2 linked regions of the Sus scrofa genome follow. The protein of the gene in region 1 interacts with the protein of each later gene in a pairwise test. Links are inferred from orthologs where the notes say so. Each region holds a gene or a part of one and is shown on either strand. Other genes may lie near its edges.

Region 1 (3,821 bases):
CAAGGCCAGAGATTGAACCTGCGTTCTCATGGATGCCAGTCATATTCATCTCCACTGAGCCACAGTGGGAACTCCTCCCTAAGCATTTTTGACTGCATTGTGAAAAGGAAATTTTAAGTGACTTCATTCTTTTTTTTCTTCCAACAATCTCATTAGAAATATCTTGTGTTTGGAGTTCCCATCGTGGCACAGTGGTTAACGAATCTGACTAGGAACCAGGAGGTTGTGGGTTTGATTCCTGGCCTTGCTAAGTGGGTTGGGGATCCAGTGTTGTGTGAGCTGTGGTGTAGGTCGCAGACTCGGCTCGGGTCCCGAGTTGCTGTGGCTGTGGTGTAGGCCAGTGGCTACAGCTCTGATTAGACCCGTAGCCTGGGAATCTCCATATGCTGCAGGAGCGGCCCTAGAAAAGGCAAAAAGACCAAAAAAAAAAGAAAAAAATATCTTGTGTTAGGATACTGTCAAGTTTGACTTGTGGTGGCAGATACAACTTTTTCAACATGTGAATTTTATCATTAGTAACAGACAGTCTTGTTTTTCTGGGAGTTCCTGTTGTGGCTCAGCAGAAACGAACCAGACTAATATTCATGAGGATGTGGGTTTGATCCTTGGCTTTGCTTAGTGGGTTAAGGATCCAGTGTTGCCATGAGCTGTGGTGTAGGTCGCAGACACGACTCAGATCCTGCATTGCTGTGGCTCAGGCCAGCAGCTGTAGCTCCAATAGGACATCTAGCCTGGGAATTTCCACGTGCCGCAAATATGGCCCTAAAAAGCAAAAAAAAAAAAAAAAAAAAAAAAACCAAAAAACAAGAGATTCATCCATTTAACATATATTTCTGGGGCACCATCTATATGCCAGTACTGTTCTTGGTGTTGGAGGTACCACAAAGAGCAGAATCTCTGCTCTCATTGAGTTTACCTTCAGGGGATGTGGGGAGCAGATAGGGCTTAAAACGTACAATTTTTGTAGTAAAATTATAAAACTTTTAATGCAAATTATTCTATCTTCACAGTCAGATATAATTACTTGTGCTCAAGAAGTGGAAATGATGATAAAGCAGTTAGGAGCCCAACTCGAACAATTAAAAATGACTGTAAAATCAAAGACGGCTGTTCCAACATCGCAAGTTTTTGTAAGTGTTTGCATCAACTTTGACCTTGTTTAAAGAAGGATAAGCTTTTAAGTCCTATGAAACTGAATCAGAAGCAGTTAAATTTAATTTATTTAATTTAATAAATTATTTTTAATTACTAAAGTATTTAAATACTAAAAATATAATATTAGTTTTATACAAGTTGATCCTTTTCTTTATGGCAGTTTTGTAGTAATAATCATAAAACCAGGATGTTACAAGTTGAATGAGTGGATTCTCTCAGTAGGTAATTGCTACTCGACAAAGTGCAGATATATATTAGAATAAGCATAATATCAGTGTTATCTGTGACCACAAAAATAATCCATAGTTCAGTGTTGAAAGCATGTTCATAGTAGTTGGTTAGAAATTGCCTTCTGCTTGGGGTTCCCATTGTGGTGCAGGGGAAATGAATCCGACTAGTATCCAAGAGGATCCAGGTTCAATCCTTGGCATCGCTCAGTGGGTCAGGGATCCAGCGTTGCCGTGAGCTGTGGTGTAATAGCAGATGTGGCTGGGATCCCTCCTTGTTGTGGCTGTGGTGTAGGCCTGGGAACTTCCATGTGCCTCGGGCATGGCCCTAAAAAGCAAAAAAAAAAAAAAAAAAAAAAAAAGAGAGAGAGAGAGAGAGAGAAATTGCCTTCAGCAAGGAGGTGATGTAATTTGTGACCTTTCTGAAAAGTCAGATAATAATCACCTTGTTTACCAAACCTGCACCTTTTCTGACTTTTTGATTATCTGCATCACCTACGGGCAAATCTGGGAGCCCCCCCAAAGTACAAGATGCACAAGCAGTATTTTATAGAGCATTTTGATTCTCTGATGATTTTATGTAATCATTCCCAATACTTTATTTTAAAATTCAAGGAACAAAAGGCTAAGTTGTTTCACTTACAAATAGGACCTTATTCATTTTTTATTTGTTGTATAAGTCAATGACTTTTAATGTGAAGAAAAAATACACTCACTGACAAAATCTTTAACTTGCAGCTCACAGGAAATGCCCCAAGGTATATCCCTAGACTTTCCAGGTTCTTTTGAATCATAATTGAGCTAGATAAATCTAATTATCATGAGTCATATTTAGCTTTTTTGAAAAAAAGAAGATATTTTTCCCTAGACCTGTTGAGGTGAAGTGTCCATAAATGTTTCTTGGGTGATCCCAAGTGTTTGGCTCTTTTGCATAAACTTACTTACTGACAATTACACAAGAAAAAAAAAAAGGTTTTGAAATACAATTTTATTTTCCCATAATTTATGAGTCCAGTTTCTACTGAGATTTTATTGTCTAACTTCATGAGACTTTGACTTGTCTTATGGGAGACTTAATCTCTTTACAAACAAACTTTGTATTTATTTTAAAGGGTAGAGTGATTTGTAATTTTGCTAAACAGTGACATTTTGAACATTTTTGTCTCTTCCTCAGCCCATCTTCATTGCCCTTTCCAATCTGTGGACTAGCTTCCAGGATGAAACTGTTTTGATTAGTGTCCTCAGTAATTTAACTACTCATCTCGAGCCATTTCTGGGTGCTCATGAATTATTCTTTCCTGAAAAAGTAATGCAAGATCTTCTTGACCGAGTGGCTGTGAAAACTGATGTGTGTAGAATCAAAGAACACATGGGTAACAGAAAGCATTCTTTTTCCTCTTAAATATACCCCTAGAATAAAGTCACTCTTTTGTTTTAAAAATTTCAGGTTCTATCTTTCTGATAAAGTTTTTTTTTAATGATACCTGCTGTGAGATTTTAATATTATCTTTTTTGGGAGGGGCACTCCTGAGGCCTCCAGGAGTTCCCAGGCCAGGGATTGAACCTGTGCCTCATCAATGACCTGAACATGGCCATGCCGGATCCTTAACCTGCTGAGCCACCAGGGAACTCCCTGAACATCTTTCTTGATTATAAGTCTATTGATGTTATAGAAAATGTGGAAAACAGAAAATATATAAACAGAATATTTTGCTCTCCAGCAGTAACTATTCCTGATCTTATTGCTAGTGTTTTGGTTAACAATGATTTTCTGTGCTTCTGGGTTTCTATCATAATCTTAGTGATTTTATTATTGGTTTGTAGTAGAAAAGGACATTAATCCATGCTATATTTGTTGCAAATGAATCTCCATTTCTTTGAAATGCCATTTGCCATATATCTACTCCAGATTCAGGTTGAAATTTATAAATCAATAAATGTTATCCTTGTAAAACTGAGCTTTTTTTTAGGCCCTTTAAGAGATTTATTGATTTCTTTTTGGGTCCTTTCTGTCTTAGTTAAAGACAACTGAAAATTCATGAGAAGGGGTTCCCGACGTGGCTCAGTGGTTAATGAATCTGACTAGGAGCCATGAGGTTGTGGGTTCAATCCCTAGCTTTGCTCAGTGAGTTAAGGATCCGGCCTTGCCGGTTGCTATGCCTCTGGTGTAGGCCGGTGGCTACAGCTCCGATTCGACCCCTAGCCTGGGAACCTCCATATGCCAAGGGAGTGGCCCTAGAAAAGGCAAAAAGACAAAAAATAAAAAATAAAAAAATTCATGAGAAATGCCAAAATAGAGTCTGGGATTTGAATTATTATCTAAAAAGAAAGTTTTCCAAGAAAGTGAAATTAGATAATTTACTCTCTAAAGTTCCTTTTCAAATTCTATTTTTGTAGAAGTGAAAAGTAAAAACCTAATGGTGATTTTCACTTGAAAAT
Region 2 (3,821 bases), on another chromosome or scaffold:
CTAAAATTCTGTTCTTTACCTCATGTACTGAATAGGTAAAGCTAGCTGCTTTAACATGCCCTGAAACATAATGGTTTAAACAGAATCATGGTTTATTTTTTCTACCAACATAAACTCCAACATAGGCATTTCTGGCTTTCTTCCAAATAATTTATGGACACAGGTTTATTCTACCCTGTGGCTCTCTCATCCTTGATATGTAGCATCCATGTGTGTATGAACCTGCAGATGAGAAAAAAGCACGGAGGATCATGCCTGAGAGTTTTTTGTGGGCCAGTCTCAGAAGTGGTGCACAGCACTTTTACTTCCATTGGGTAGCCTGAGCAACGAGACCACTCCTAACTCCAGGGGAAGCTGGGAAATATAATCTAGCTGCATGCTAGAAGCAGAGAAAATAGGTGTCTGGGTGGTCTTTTCCATACTTTATCTACAGTTTGATACGTTAGAGCTCTTCCCTTTCTACAAGGTTTCTCTATATACTGACAGTTTATCAGTGATGACTAAATGTTGTAGACTTTAACCTCCTGTTTAGCAACCTGAATTTTGACTTTTAGGACATCTTCATTATACTTTCACATGGCTCTCTATGCATCTGATTTTTTTTTTTACCTCAGACCAAAATGATGTTTGACACATGTTAGTTGATTAGTGAATGTATGTTTAATTAAATGAGTGCATGATTTTAAAATCACCTCATGCCTCACTGGTAACCCTTCTTTCATAAAATATCTTTGGTAGAAAAGTACATTTGATAACAGCCAAAAGATGAGTCCCCTTCCTTCTTCAGTAATTGAAATAATATTGCTCTCTACAGCGCCTGTAATTTCTGTTTCCTTTGCCTAATAAGACCACACTTCTTTTTTTGAGGACTAAGAGCCCCTTGTACAGTACAGGGAAAAGAAATCTGTGTCAGAGGTAGATTTTAGGAGCAGATATTTTGGGTGCAATTCAGTGAATAAAGCTTTGAGAGATTTTAAAAGTCAGCCTGGCTTCAAAGTTGTTCTGAGGAGATTCCTCTTCTATCAGATCAGTTGTAGAGGTGCTATCAGCTATAGGCTTATTTGTTAGTTTGCTTTTTCTTTCATCTAGTTATAGCTTTCTTAACTGTTCTTAACCAGATTCTGTGCCAGGTAATGGGGATGTAAATGTGAATTAAACTGTTCCTGCTCTTAAGCCTCCAATTTTGTGATTGTGGAAATGGTGTCCGACCTGCACATTTACACTATTTTATGATATGGACTAGATTTATAGGACCAGAGGGTACATGAAAAAGGGAAATTATTTTATGTTTGATTAATCAGGAAAGGCTGAAGGCCTGTGTCTCACATATGGGAGGGCTAGTCCATGTAATCCCATTAACTAAGAATCAGGACAGCTTCATCAATACCCTGCTCCTGTGCTGCCTCTACTTCATTGGGTCAGAGACCATCTTCAAACAGGGAACTAAATCTAGTCACTTGTGATGGAAGATGATGGGTGGTAATGTGAGAAAAATGATGTATATATCTATGTGTGACTGGGTCACTTTGCTGTACAGTAGAAATTGACAGAACATTGTAAATCAACTATAACAGGGGAAACAAAAATCTTACAAAAAATAATATATCCTTTAATTCCCTACCTCCATGTTTAAGGAGAGGTATTATTTGCTTTATCTGCAGAGAAGGAAGGAGAGGAAGGTGTTACCTGGGCAGGGCTGAGAAAAGATCCACATTCCTTTCTGCCTCTGACAAAAACATTTCTAACCATAAGGTCTGTTCTTGGACTGCATCTTCTATATTAACAGAGACCTTACTGCACTGGAATAAACTAGATTCTCTCTGTATTTCTTTGGGAAAGTTTAAATTTAGTCTAAGTGAATAACTTAGCAACTCAGTCAGCAATCCTCTCTTCCTCAGGATCAAAAATATCAAATACATGATTATTTTACCTGCCTTTAAAAGTGCTGCTCTATGTGTCATGCCCTGCTGCAATAATATTCCTTTCTTATCCATTCCAAATTGTTGACCTATGGCAAGTCCTAGTCTCACTTGAGAATTTCCTTATGTATTCACATTGAAGTCAATAAAGCAAAATAATTTTACTGATTATTTCTTTAGTTTTTTTCAATTAAAAAATGAAATGTTGAGAATTCCCATTGTGGCTCAGCAGGTTAAGAACCTGAATAGTATCCATGAGAATGCAGGTCCAAGCCCTGGCCTTGCTCGGTGGGTTAAGGATCTGCCATTGCCACCAGCTGTGGTGTAGGTTGCAGATGTGGCTCAGATCTGGCAGTTGTTGTGGCTGTGGCATAGGCCGGCAGCTGCAGCTCAGATCTGACCCCTATCCCGGGAACTTCCATATGCCTATTCCGCAGATGCAGCCATAAAAATTAAAAAAAAAAAAAAAAAAAAAGAAATGTTGGAGTTTCCCTTGCGGCACAGTGGATTAAGAATATGACTTCAGCAGCTTGGGTCACTGTGAAGGTGTGGACTCCATCCCCAGCTTGATGCAGTGTGTTGAAGGATTCTGCATTGCCAGAGCTGTGGGGTAGGTTGCAGCTGTGGCTTGGATTTAATCCCTGGCCTGGGACTATGCCACAGGTGTAGTCATAAAAAATTAATTAATTAATTAATTTAAAGAATTAAATGTCATTCATAATTTAGCTTAATATAGGTATACAAAATAAAAGAAAAAATGACTCATACAACTACACTGAAACCTCTAGTAATACTTAAAATAAAATTAATATATTTAGAGAATAGAAAATTCAAATAGTAGCCATAGGTTTAAAGTGAAAGTCTGGCTTCTCATGGCCCTGTCTTCTCTTCCAGATGAATACTCTTTAAAAGTAAGCACCATCAGTAGTTTCATATTATTTCCTTAGAAATGTTTATGTATAAATACCAGCATTTGTGTATATTTTGTCTTTTACTCAATCAGTCATTTTATTCATCCAAAAAATATTTGTTAAGGGACTGTTCTGTGCTAGGCAGTATCTTGAGCCTTGGGGAAACAATAGTGAACAAAAGAGAAAAGGTTTCTCCTCTTAGGACACTTAGAATCTAGGTGAGAAAGAGAGACAGGAATGTAAAATAAAGCATGGGATCGTTTCAGTTCAAAATGTTATTAAGGAAATAGGGTGGTGGTGCTCTTACATAAGGTGGTTAGTGAAGGCTTCTGCTTCTACAGTTTATTGTATTCTACTGAACAAAGTAGAATAGGGAGTGACTCAATTCACGCCTGACCTATGTTATTTTTTTTTTCTGAAGGTGAAGCTCCACCTGCCATCCAGCTGCCCACACCAGCAGTCCAGCGCCCAAGTCCCATCACACTTTTCCAGCCCAGTGTCTCCACTGCCCAGGTGGCTGTCCAGGCTCCAAGTCTGCCCCTCCGTCCAGCACTCCCACCCCAGCGCTTTGCTGGGCCCTCCCAAACGGACACTCATCGGCTGCATTCTGGAGCCAGTTGCTCTGTGAAGAGACCCACTCCTGTCTCTCCGGAAAGCACCAGTAGGATTCCAACTAGTGCAAGTACTGCCCATGCCAGATTTGCATCCTCAACCATCCAGCCTCCCAAGGAGTATCCCAGCGTTTCTACTTGTCCCAGAAGTGCTCCAATCCCCCAGCCTCCTCCTATTCCACACTCACATGTCTACCAGCCCCCTCCCCTTGGCCATCCAGCCACGTTGTTTGGGACACCACCTCGATTCTCTTTTCATCACCCTTACTTCCTACCTGGACCTCACTACTTCCCATCAAGGTAAATGAATAGTTTATTTCCTTTCTCCTAAAAATTCTTACAGAGAATGAATTTTGACATCTGAAGTCCTTTTTTTTTCC

What was found.
Region 2: the proteins of CFAP206 (region 1) and SOX30 interact in binary tests that used the Homo sapiens proteins (3 or more experiments, as listed by UniProt). The two-hybrid records come from large-scale screens. The link is inferred for Sus scrofa from reciprocal best matches to the Homo sapiens genes CFAP206 and SOX30.

What each region holds. Positions count from the first base shown.
Region 1 is NC_010443.5:55,834,914-55,838,734, forward strand, and holds part of CFAP206 (cilia- and flagella-associated protein 206), read left to right. Parts: intron 1-1,010; coding exon 1,011-1,130; intron 1,131-2,556; coding exon 2,557-2,755; intron 2,756-3,821. UniProt on the Homo sapiens protein: Essential for sperm motility and is involved in the regulation of the beating frequency of motile cilia on the epithelial cells of the respiratory tract. Required for the establishment of radial spokes in sperm flagella.
Region 2 is NC_010458.4:65,651,993-65,655,813, forward strand, and holds part of SOX30 (transcription factor SOX-30), read left to right. Parts: intron 1-3,251; coding exon 3,252-3,741; intron 3,742-3,821. UniProt on the Homo sapiens protein: Acts both as a transcriptional activator and a repressor. Binds to the DNA sequence 5'-ACAAT-3' and shows a preference for guanine residues surrounding this core motif. Binds to its own promoter and activates its own transcription.